2 linked regions of the Daphnia pulex genome follow. The protein of the gene in region 1 interacts with the protein of each later gene in a pairwise test. Links are inferred from orthologs where the notes say so. Each region holds a gene or a part of one and is shown on either strand. Other genes may lie near its edges.

Region 1 (4,218 bases):
TTTAGAATGTTTTTTTTTTTGCATATACACAAAAACCATAGTACTATTACTTTTCTAGATCGTTCAATTTCTCCCCAATGTGGCGAGATTATTTCAAAACAGGGATTCGTTAATTAGACTTTCTTAAAAGTTTTTATCCCGCAGCTTCCGTGTACTAAAAACATCAAAGTCACTGAATTGTAAACTTCAGCGTTTAGTGACTGTGAAATTTTGTACAGCATGCATACCGAAAAGTAAAATACACAAGTGCCAATCACGAAGTATGTCTCTCTCTATTATTCTATTGTTCCAAAAGTTATTTTTGACGATTAGGAAAAAGCACACCAACCTCAAAAAGTACTTTGAGCGGACGCAAGTTTCCCTTTCAAATAATGCACCAAAACTTTCTTTTCGGATGAAACTTTGAGTTTACAAAATTCAATTACGCAAAGTTTCAGGGATACATTTTAGATAAGAAATGATATACATCTGATGCCGTGGGAAAGATATTCAAGTTAAGTTCAAACGCGCCTTAACATACGATCTCTACGATTTTGTTACAAACTTCTAAAAGGCAAGCTTATTCAGTTGGGGAATCTTATTGATCAACCGAATGCAGTGCGCAATACTTCTAGCTAGATACAATTTATCGATAAAACCCTTTGTACGGCTTTCAAGTAAAAGTTGATTTAAACTATTTAGTTGAAATCATCATCCATATCAATTGCTGCTAAAACGGATTCGCTGAGAACCTCATTTTCATTTGTTTCAAGTTTCTCTACTTTAGCTGGAAGAGTAGCACGAATGGTCTGTACCTTATTCGCTCCCTTGATTTTCTCCTTCACTTCACCGTTGAGGATCTTTTGGCTTTCGATAAAATACTGGTTTGGGTGCTGGATACCACTATCAATCTCGGTGTTGTGCGTGGCTTCAAAGTACCGCTGGCAGGCAATCTGGTAATGATGGCGTGTCACTAGATCGACTATTTCTTGAATCGCTAGAAGGGCACCAAAACAAATTAAATTACGTGATCAAAGACATGCATATGAAATTAATTACTACCTGGCTGAGGAACACGATTCATTGTCATTTTCTGTCGAAGGACGGCAGCATCAAAGTGTCTGAACGGACAACCGTGATTCTCACCCGGACCTACGCTGGCAGTAATGATTTTGATGCAGCTTTGAGGTGCGTAATTGATTCTTTTTCCTTCCTTGCCGTAATTGTGGCGAATATTGTATGCGTATTGCTTTTCAAACTAAAGGAAATAGGGAAATGTAAGGAGAAGTTTTGATGAAACTTTGATCCTCGGTGGAGGTTTACCAACCTTATCCATATCCATATTTTTGGAGAACTCCTCCCTCCAAAACTTCAATGAATTTTCCAAGCTAAGTCCGATTCCTTTGACAAAAAGTCCATACTGCATACGTCCGCCGTGTTTTAAATGATGAGTAGAACGCAATGTCTCGTGTAAATGTCTCATACAGAGTGGGAAAGATTGTTTTGACAACTGCAAATCATACATTTTAATGATTTACTATTTTTGTTTTTATAAAGCAAGCACGGAAATTTGTTGGTCTTACCCCATCAATCATTTCTGGTGTTACAGCGGCACCAGAAGATTTATTTTGTAGAGAGTTAAAATCTTGACCGGTATATCGTTTATCAAAGTCATTCAGTAAGCGACGGATTCGATGATCGTCCTCTAGCTCTGGTAGTGAACGCATAGTAAGCTTCAATCCAATAAAAAAAATATCTTTAAATAAGTTATTCAGTGAATATTAAAAAATTATTTTCTTTTACCGCCATAGCAAGTGATAAATGAGAGCGGAACATAGCTGTGATTATGGAAACGAGGTCCTCGCTTGGAATGTATGCAAATCCGGCTTGCAAGTATACTTTGCGATGGCGAACTAAATCTAAAGCCTCTGTAAAGGGAACCTTGTAATATTCCACTGCATCAACTTTATTGGCATTAAATTGGGCAGCATGTATAAGTTTAGTCAATATCTTCTTTTTTTCTTCCTCTGGAATCTGTAAAATGTTTGGTGAAATATAATTAAATAAGTAATAATTTGGTGAATATTTGCAATATCTCTACATACGGGTAGAAAATTCATTTTGTTTTCTTTCATAAATGCCCTGATATCTTCTGAACTTTCCATCGAAAATCTAAAGCGGAAGAGATCAGTTTCCTGAGCAATGAACCAACGCCTGTACTCTTCAGTCCTGCAATATGCAAGTCTCATCAAGAAGTGAGAAACATGATCTTTCTGTCGTGTTTTTGAAATGATTTCATCCATCTTATCATCTTTGATACTTGAGCTCAGTTGATACCAACTGTTCAAGTTCTGCTTTTGTAAATCATTTTTCAGGGCAGTCTTCCAATCATCAGAGAATCTGGCATTTTTACTCAGATTGACACGCTCTATTGTCCTAAGAACTGTTGATAAAAATTTGAAGTAATTACGGAGGTAATTAATAAGAAGTTATGACCAATTATTATACCTTTGAGACGTTCGACAGCCCAATCTTCAAGTTCTTGCAAACCGATGGTTTCACTGGGAGGTACGGAATATAGTTGCAGAGAATGAGGATATTCACTTCTTAGCTTCATAGAATTTTTTATAGTTCGCCGAACTGTGTTGCGTTGAAATTCCATTTTTAAAAGTAACTATTTCCCTCGGAATTTATTCAACAAAATTTTTTTTCTACCAAGTTTACTGCGCGGTTAACACTTAACATAAAGCAGAGTAGCAGACGGTAAATGAAACAACAAAAGATCTCTTTTCGCGCTCAAACTAAAGCAACGGTGATGCCAGATATAAAATTGGCGAAAAAAAAAGGATTCCAAATTGATTGCAAGTTGCATGCAAATGCAACCGCTCTAAAATAAATTCGAAGACTTGCGAACTTGCTAGATACAAATCATGCATATTAAATAGCTTTAAAGTTATTCAAAGTTTTTATTAATTAGAATTTTGCAAGGATTGCAGGAAATCTAATCTTTGCCTCACCCAATTCATTGTCTCACGCAGCTGCGGGCTTGCGACGACTGTAATTAAATTTTGGACCATAAATAATTAAGTGCGAATGCCTCTATGAAAATGAAAGAGTTCGCTAATTGCAGTATGTCCATGGTATGTCTATAAGAGTTCGTTGTTTTGCAATTCAAACTAACCACACGGGACACGAGACAGACGACACATTACCTGTGATATGAAAATGATTACTACTTTTCGCTTTTTTCGTCAAAAATTAAAACATATTTAATTCCAGAAATCTGTATCAGTAAATAACTTCGTTTCCCAAAGGTTTAGGCTCAGAATCATATCCGAAGTCCGATAAATTACCCGTGTTATCTTTCTCTAACACCCTCCAGGGGTCTCTGAATTCCCATGTTTTGAATACGTCAATAAACATCTGTGTTTTTACCTGAAATATGAAATTTGGACTGTTTAAAGTGTTTACGTGGCAAAGTTACTAAGCCTACGTCGTCCTGGAAAATGCTACAACAGTCACAAAAATGGAACGAATCCAGAAGTACATGGTTCAGTTAGCGGAAAACTTTAACAAAACATCTTTAGGTTAGTTTTTAACAAGTAAAAACTTCATCCATCACACAAATTATCACAAGTCAGTGAGATTGTTTGACATTTTACCTTTTATCTGTTTAGACGATGGTTTTTGGGATTGTGTAGTCATATCTGCCGGAGATGAAGAACAAAAAGAATGTTTCAAACAGCAAATTGATGAGAAACTGGAAAATGGAGAAATACCAAGGGCTACTAAATATTTAGTCATTGCTGATTGTCCTGGATATGCTTTGGGGTCAGGTGGATCTACCTTTCATATTCTGAAACATTTAAAAAAACTTTTTGCCAATGATCTATTTGAGATGAAAATTTGGATTAGTCATGCTGGTAGGAATTGATGTTATAGGCCTACTTACATGTTTCAGTTAATACTATTTTTTTTATTTCTTTAAAAAATATTTTTATTTTAGGGGGATCTAGTAAAAGATTACCAAATTTAAGCTGTACTGGAAAGTTATTTTGTCCATTGCCACTAGAAGTTGAAGGAAAAGCAATAACACTTCTAAATTTAAAATTTATTATTACTTCACCTTTTCTTAAACTGATGAAAAATGGAGGAATATTTATTTGTGCTTCTGATGATATAGAAACTTTTTGTTTAGAAGGTAATTGTTTAATAATTCTTCTTTCTTTTTTTCATTTG
Region 2 (4,113 bases), on another chromosome or scaffold:
AATTGTATATCATACTATGTATTTTCTTACGCTCTTTTTTGCACTTTCTTTTTTTGTTCATAAGTGACAAATAAATTAATATAGCCCCAGCCAGTTTTTTTTTTGCAATGTTTGGTTTCTTTTGGTATTATGGTTTCACTTAAAATTAACAAATTCGGTAAACAAAGTCAAAACTTTTGTAGGACAATGTTCGTATTTTTTTACAATTCACTAAATGAATTGGTTACCTATAAAGAATATAAATCAATTTGAGAGGTATTTGTATACACCTTGACCTGCAGAACACTCATTTGACACAACCGTTAACTAAAAAGGGGGTAAGCGCGAGTCTAATCTGATAACGAAAAGGCTCCAATAACGGGGGAATCAGCAGTCCGAGAAGACTAGGTGGAGAGAAAGCCATTGGAAAGTCTCAACTACAAGATGAAAATTTCTAAATAGTGAGACAAAATATGCTCCGTCAAGGCGTTAATGGGTCCGATAGCCGATAAAGACATTTGCTGGTTCTGAGACCAGACTAAATTGGGCCCAAATACCACAGCGAGATTGAACGATGTCATTTTGTTCAAGTCGCTTCTATCTTGAACCTAGAATTAAAATATAGTTTGTATCGAGGAATTAAAAAATAATGATAATAATTAGACCCTACTTTGGCGAGAAATTGTGCAAGGTATTTCAATAAGATGTAATTATCCTCTGGTAACCTTTCCAAGATAAGTGTTTTTACCATTTGAGCACGTTCCTCCTTGTTCAAACCTATAAAACAGCTTTAAAGTTTCAGTAGACAATAATTCCAATGATGAACAAACTTACGTTGAAAATTTATAATGTCGTCAAAGAGGTCAAACGTCATTAGGGGCTCCTTCAGTTCACGCAAAAATGTTTTCAGTGTTACAGCAGCTAGATGATAATCGCCAGGAAAGTCACGCTGAAAATCAATCGATTCACCCCGATTAATCCGGGACTGAACGTCACGTACTAACGAAACACTAGCTGAGCGACGGAATAATCCTTCCGTTTCCAAAGCTGTCAATTAAGATTTCCATTACAGTAATTGATTCCTTTGATTTAAATAACTGGGGAAATAACCATCTGGTTGGCTGAGGAACTCCACACAGCGAGAGACTACCGGCGGAATGACCTGGCCATTGTTGCGTTCCTTGATAAATTGCAGTGTCACACCAAACTGTTGGGTAGGTAAAGGTTGGACAGATGAAGAAGAATCCACCTGAGAACCTTGTCCTGACTTGTTAGCAATTTTTGACATCAGCTGAGCGTCATGTCTGCCATTAAAGAACTAATTAAAAAACGATTAAACATATGATTTACATTTTCTTACGTTAGCACGGGTGGCGGTATGTTAACTTGATTAAGATGGATATGGTTACCCAATTCACTGAGGTAATTAACGTACATCATCTTCCGCCCGAATTTAATGCTTAAAAAAAATGTTACTATATGCTGAAATGTCGCATAACACAGAAAACAGATCTACCTGATAAATGGCTTGAATAATTGCCAAATTACTCTAATGAAATTTGTAGGGTGTACAAGGTACAAGGCTTTCAGATTTTTCTTGTACTTTCGATCGAAAGCGCGATACGCTTGTAAAAGCCACCGAAAAGACGGTTTGTTCTGACTGTTGAGACCATGATGAAAGTACACAACAGTGTAATCAGTCTCAACATAGTTATCCAAAGTGTGCATCAAGTAACTGTAAAATGAATACATGTATTATTTACTGTTGAGCATACATGTGCAATATTTTATTACCTCAGCAATCTGTTATGATCCAGCACTTTGTTACTTGGCAACCTGCAAGCAGAGACAACTGTAGAGAAAACACACAAAAAAACCCAATATTAACAAAAAATAATGAAAAATAAATAAAAAACAATGATTAGAATGATGAAATAATAATTTAACATACCAATAACCTTGCGGCCATATGTGTCATCACCCACTACATCAACAATTCTATGTTGAGCAACATCAATGAAATCATCCACATCAAGTTCCTTTAATGAATCTCTTTGCTCTGGAATTAGAGATGGATATTCTGGAATTAAAGATGGTAAGCCAAATGCTTCTTCAAAGTTCTCCTCAATGGTGCCATCAGACACAGGAGTCTCTAGAAATTCATCGGATTCTATTCCAATTCCAATAATTTCCCCTAAAATTTCAAAAACGCATATTAATTTATTTGACCTTTAGTAAAATCAATATTATACAAAGTTACACACCTTCATCATCAACTGGTTGTTGGAGTTCAGTATCGTCAAATTCTAAATTTGGTTCATAATCATGTATATCAGAAAGGCTTGGATATGGATCTTCAGTCTCTCCAGTCAAATAAGCTAGCAAGGAAAATGTTAAATAATAACAACAGACACAACTTCTCCCATACTTTTAATATGCATTTAATCAACATTTACCTGGTATTGCAGATCTTGGTTTGCTGGGGCTATCGCGATTCATTTTGTGTCCTTTTTTGTGGCATTTGGTTAATATTTTCTTCACAATAAGTTCTCTAAACAGATCTAGGGTGGTACTAACCTACAGATCAGAGAAAATACACGAATTAGGAATAAAAAATGTACAACTGCCCATAACGAACTATTAGTTATATCACTGTACAATCTTTTGCGGAAGATCACTTTTCCATACAAGAATCGGTTAATATACCTCTATGCTCGAGGCAACTGTCAAATATAAGATAACAATCCACATATGAGGAAGAGGAAACGCAGCAACGCAACCCTTTTGCCGTAACGAGTTGTTGAACCTTATGGGCCCAAGGTTGTTGAAAACTTGTAGCAGACGAATTCTTTTTCGAATTTTCTTTCAATGTTGAATGTGTAACACTAGTACAACTTTGATCTGATAGAAGATCTAATTGATAGATGCTACGGCTAATCAATTTAGAAATCCTGTAACTTAAATTTAAAAAATGTTATCTCCTTCGCGAAAATATCATTTGCCGAATTCTCTTTGCTATTCGTTTTCAAACTACCCCTCTGAAAATTTTCTTGAGGAATATCATGGTTCGAATGATATCCCTATCAAGGTATGTAATTGGTTTGGCAGCTATTATTTGCTTTTTTGTCTTTTCCCTTGAAAATGAAAAATCATTTTGAAAATCATTTCCTAGGTGCTAATATTATCATGTGGAGATTTACCCTTTGCTGTTAAGTCTACTTCTCTCAGTTCCAATCAAAGAATTGCTAACATCACTGTAACAGATATGTCTGCAATGGCCATGGCACGAAATATCTTGTTTGCAAAAATAATTACTGATACAAAATTTAATCCTGACAGCAATGAAGATTTACAATATTTGTGGGATATATGGTATAATATGGAGTGGTCATCAGTAACTAAAGAGAGGTTTTTGAAGGACATCACAGAATTGAGCATTGATTGTTTCTCAGATAATTTAAAGGTTCCTGTTGAAAGTGATTTGTCTGTTCTAAAGAACATATGGAAATTCTGGGTTTCATCAGTGTCTGAAGTAAACTTAGCTACCATGCAACAAATTCACAAACAAAGGTAAAAATAATAAGAAACAAACTATTGTGAAACAGACTTAATAATAAAATTTTATGCATTCCAGGTATGAATCCATTATAAATAACATTCATGAACTTGGGTCAAGCAAAACCTCAAAATCAGATGACAGTGTTTACAAGCCAACATTAGCTGAAGTATGGAAGTGGATGATTGCGCAGACAAAAGCTCATATTGATCAAAAAGCAAGCAGAAATGCCGAAGAAATGCGTATCTATTTTGAAACGGGCAACTGCTCTCAGGACAAAGAAATAATGATCTGCATCAATCCAACGCTCTTGGAACCAGCAACCGGCCACTGGACACTGATTTCTTCCGTTTCACCGTTTGAAATGTATTTAAATCTCAAACAGTTGCCCGCTCAGGGGAACTTTCTAGAATCCTGTAAGAAGGCTTTGTGCAATCAAGTTATGAGCTATCAAAAATGGATTACAGAAGCTACATTGACTTTTCACATTGGTGATGCATTAGAGCTGTGTTATCGCAAAACGTGGACAGAACCGTTTAATATTGTAGATTTTTCAAAATTACCTAACCATGTTGGTT

What was found.
Region 2: the proteins of DNA primase large subunit-like (region 1) and rho GTPase-activating protein 1-like interact in a two-hybrid assay, tested with the Drosophila melanogaster proteins (2 studies listed by BioGRID). The link is inferred for Daphnia pulex from reciprocal best matches to the Drosophila melanogaster genes Prim2 and RhoGAP68F.

What each region holds. Positions count from the first base shown.
Region 1 is NC_060018.1:6,170,266-6,174,483, forward strand, and holds DNA primase large subunit-like, read right to left. Parts: upstream 2,801-4,218; 5' UTR 2,642-2,800; coding exon 2,488-2,641; intron 2,423-2,487; coding exon 2,085-2,422; intron 2,014-2,084; coding exon 1,783-2,013; intron 1,713-1,782; coding exon 1,563-1,712; intron 1,490-1,562; coding exon 1,307-1,489; intron 1,238-1,306; coding exon 1,042-1,237; intron 977-1,041; coding exon 678-976; 3' UTR 266-677; downstream 1-265. Other genes in the region: fucose-1-phosphate guanylyltransferase-like, read left to right, coding at 3,506-3,566, 3,657-3,902, 3,986-4,180. UniProt on the Drosophila melanogaster protein: Regulatory subunit of the DNA primase complex and component of the DNA polymerase alpha complex (also known as the alpha DNA polymerase-primase complex) which play an essential role in the initiation of DNA synthesis.
Region 2 is NC_060017.1:1,508,076-1,512,188, reverse strand, and holds rho GTPase-activating protein 1-like, read right to left. Parts: upstream 2,801-4,113; 5' UTR 2,731-2,800; coding exon 2,686-2,730; coding exon of another isoform or gene 2,684-2,685; exon of another isoform or gene 2,636-2,683; intron 2,557-2,635; coding exon 2,436-2,556; intron 2,358-2,435; coding exon 2,244-2,357; intron 2,174-2,243; coding exon 1,931-2,173; intron 1,832-1,930; coding exon 1,774-1,831; intron 1,715-1,773; coding exon 1,496-1,714; intron 1,439-1,495; coding exon 1,340-1,438; intron 1,284-1,339; coding exon 1,090-1,283; intron 1,027-1,089; coding exon 814-1,026; intron 757-813; coding exon 650-756; intron 588-649; coding exon 417-587; 3' UTR 244-416; downstream 1-243. Other genes in the region: uncharacterized protein LOC124194419, read left to right, coding at 2,951-3,067, 3,152-3,549, 3,614-4,113. UniProt on the Drosophila melanogaster protein: Functions as a GTPase-activating protein (GAP) for RhoA/Rho1 during gastrulation by converting it to an inactive GDP-bound state.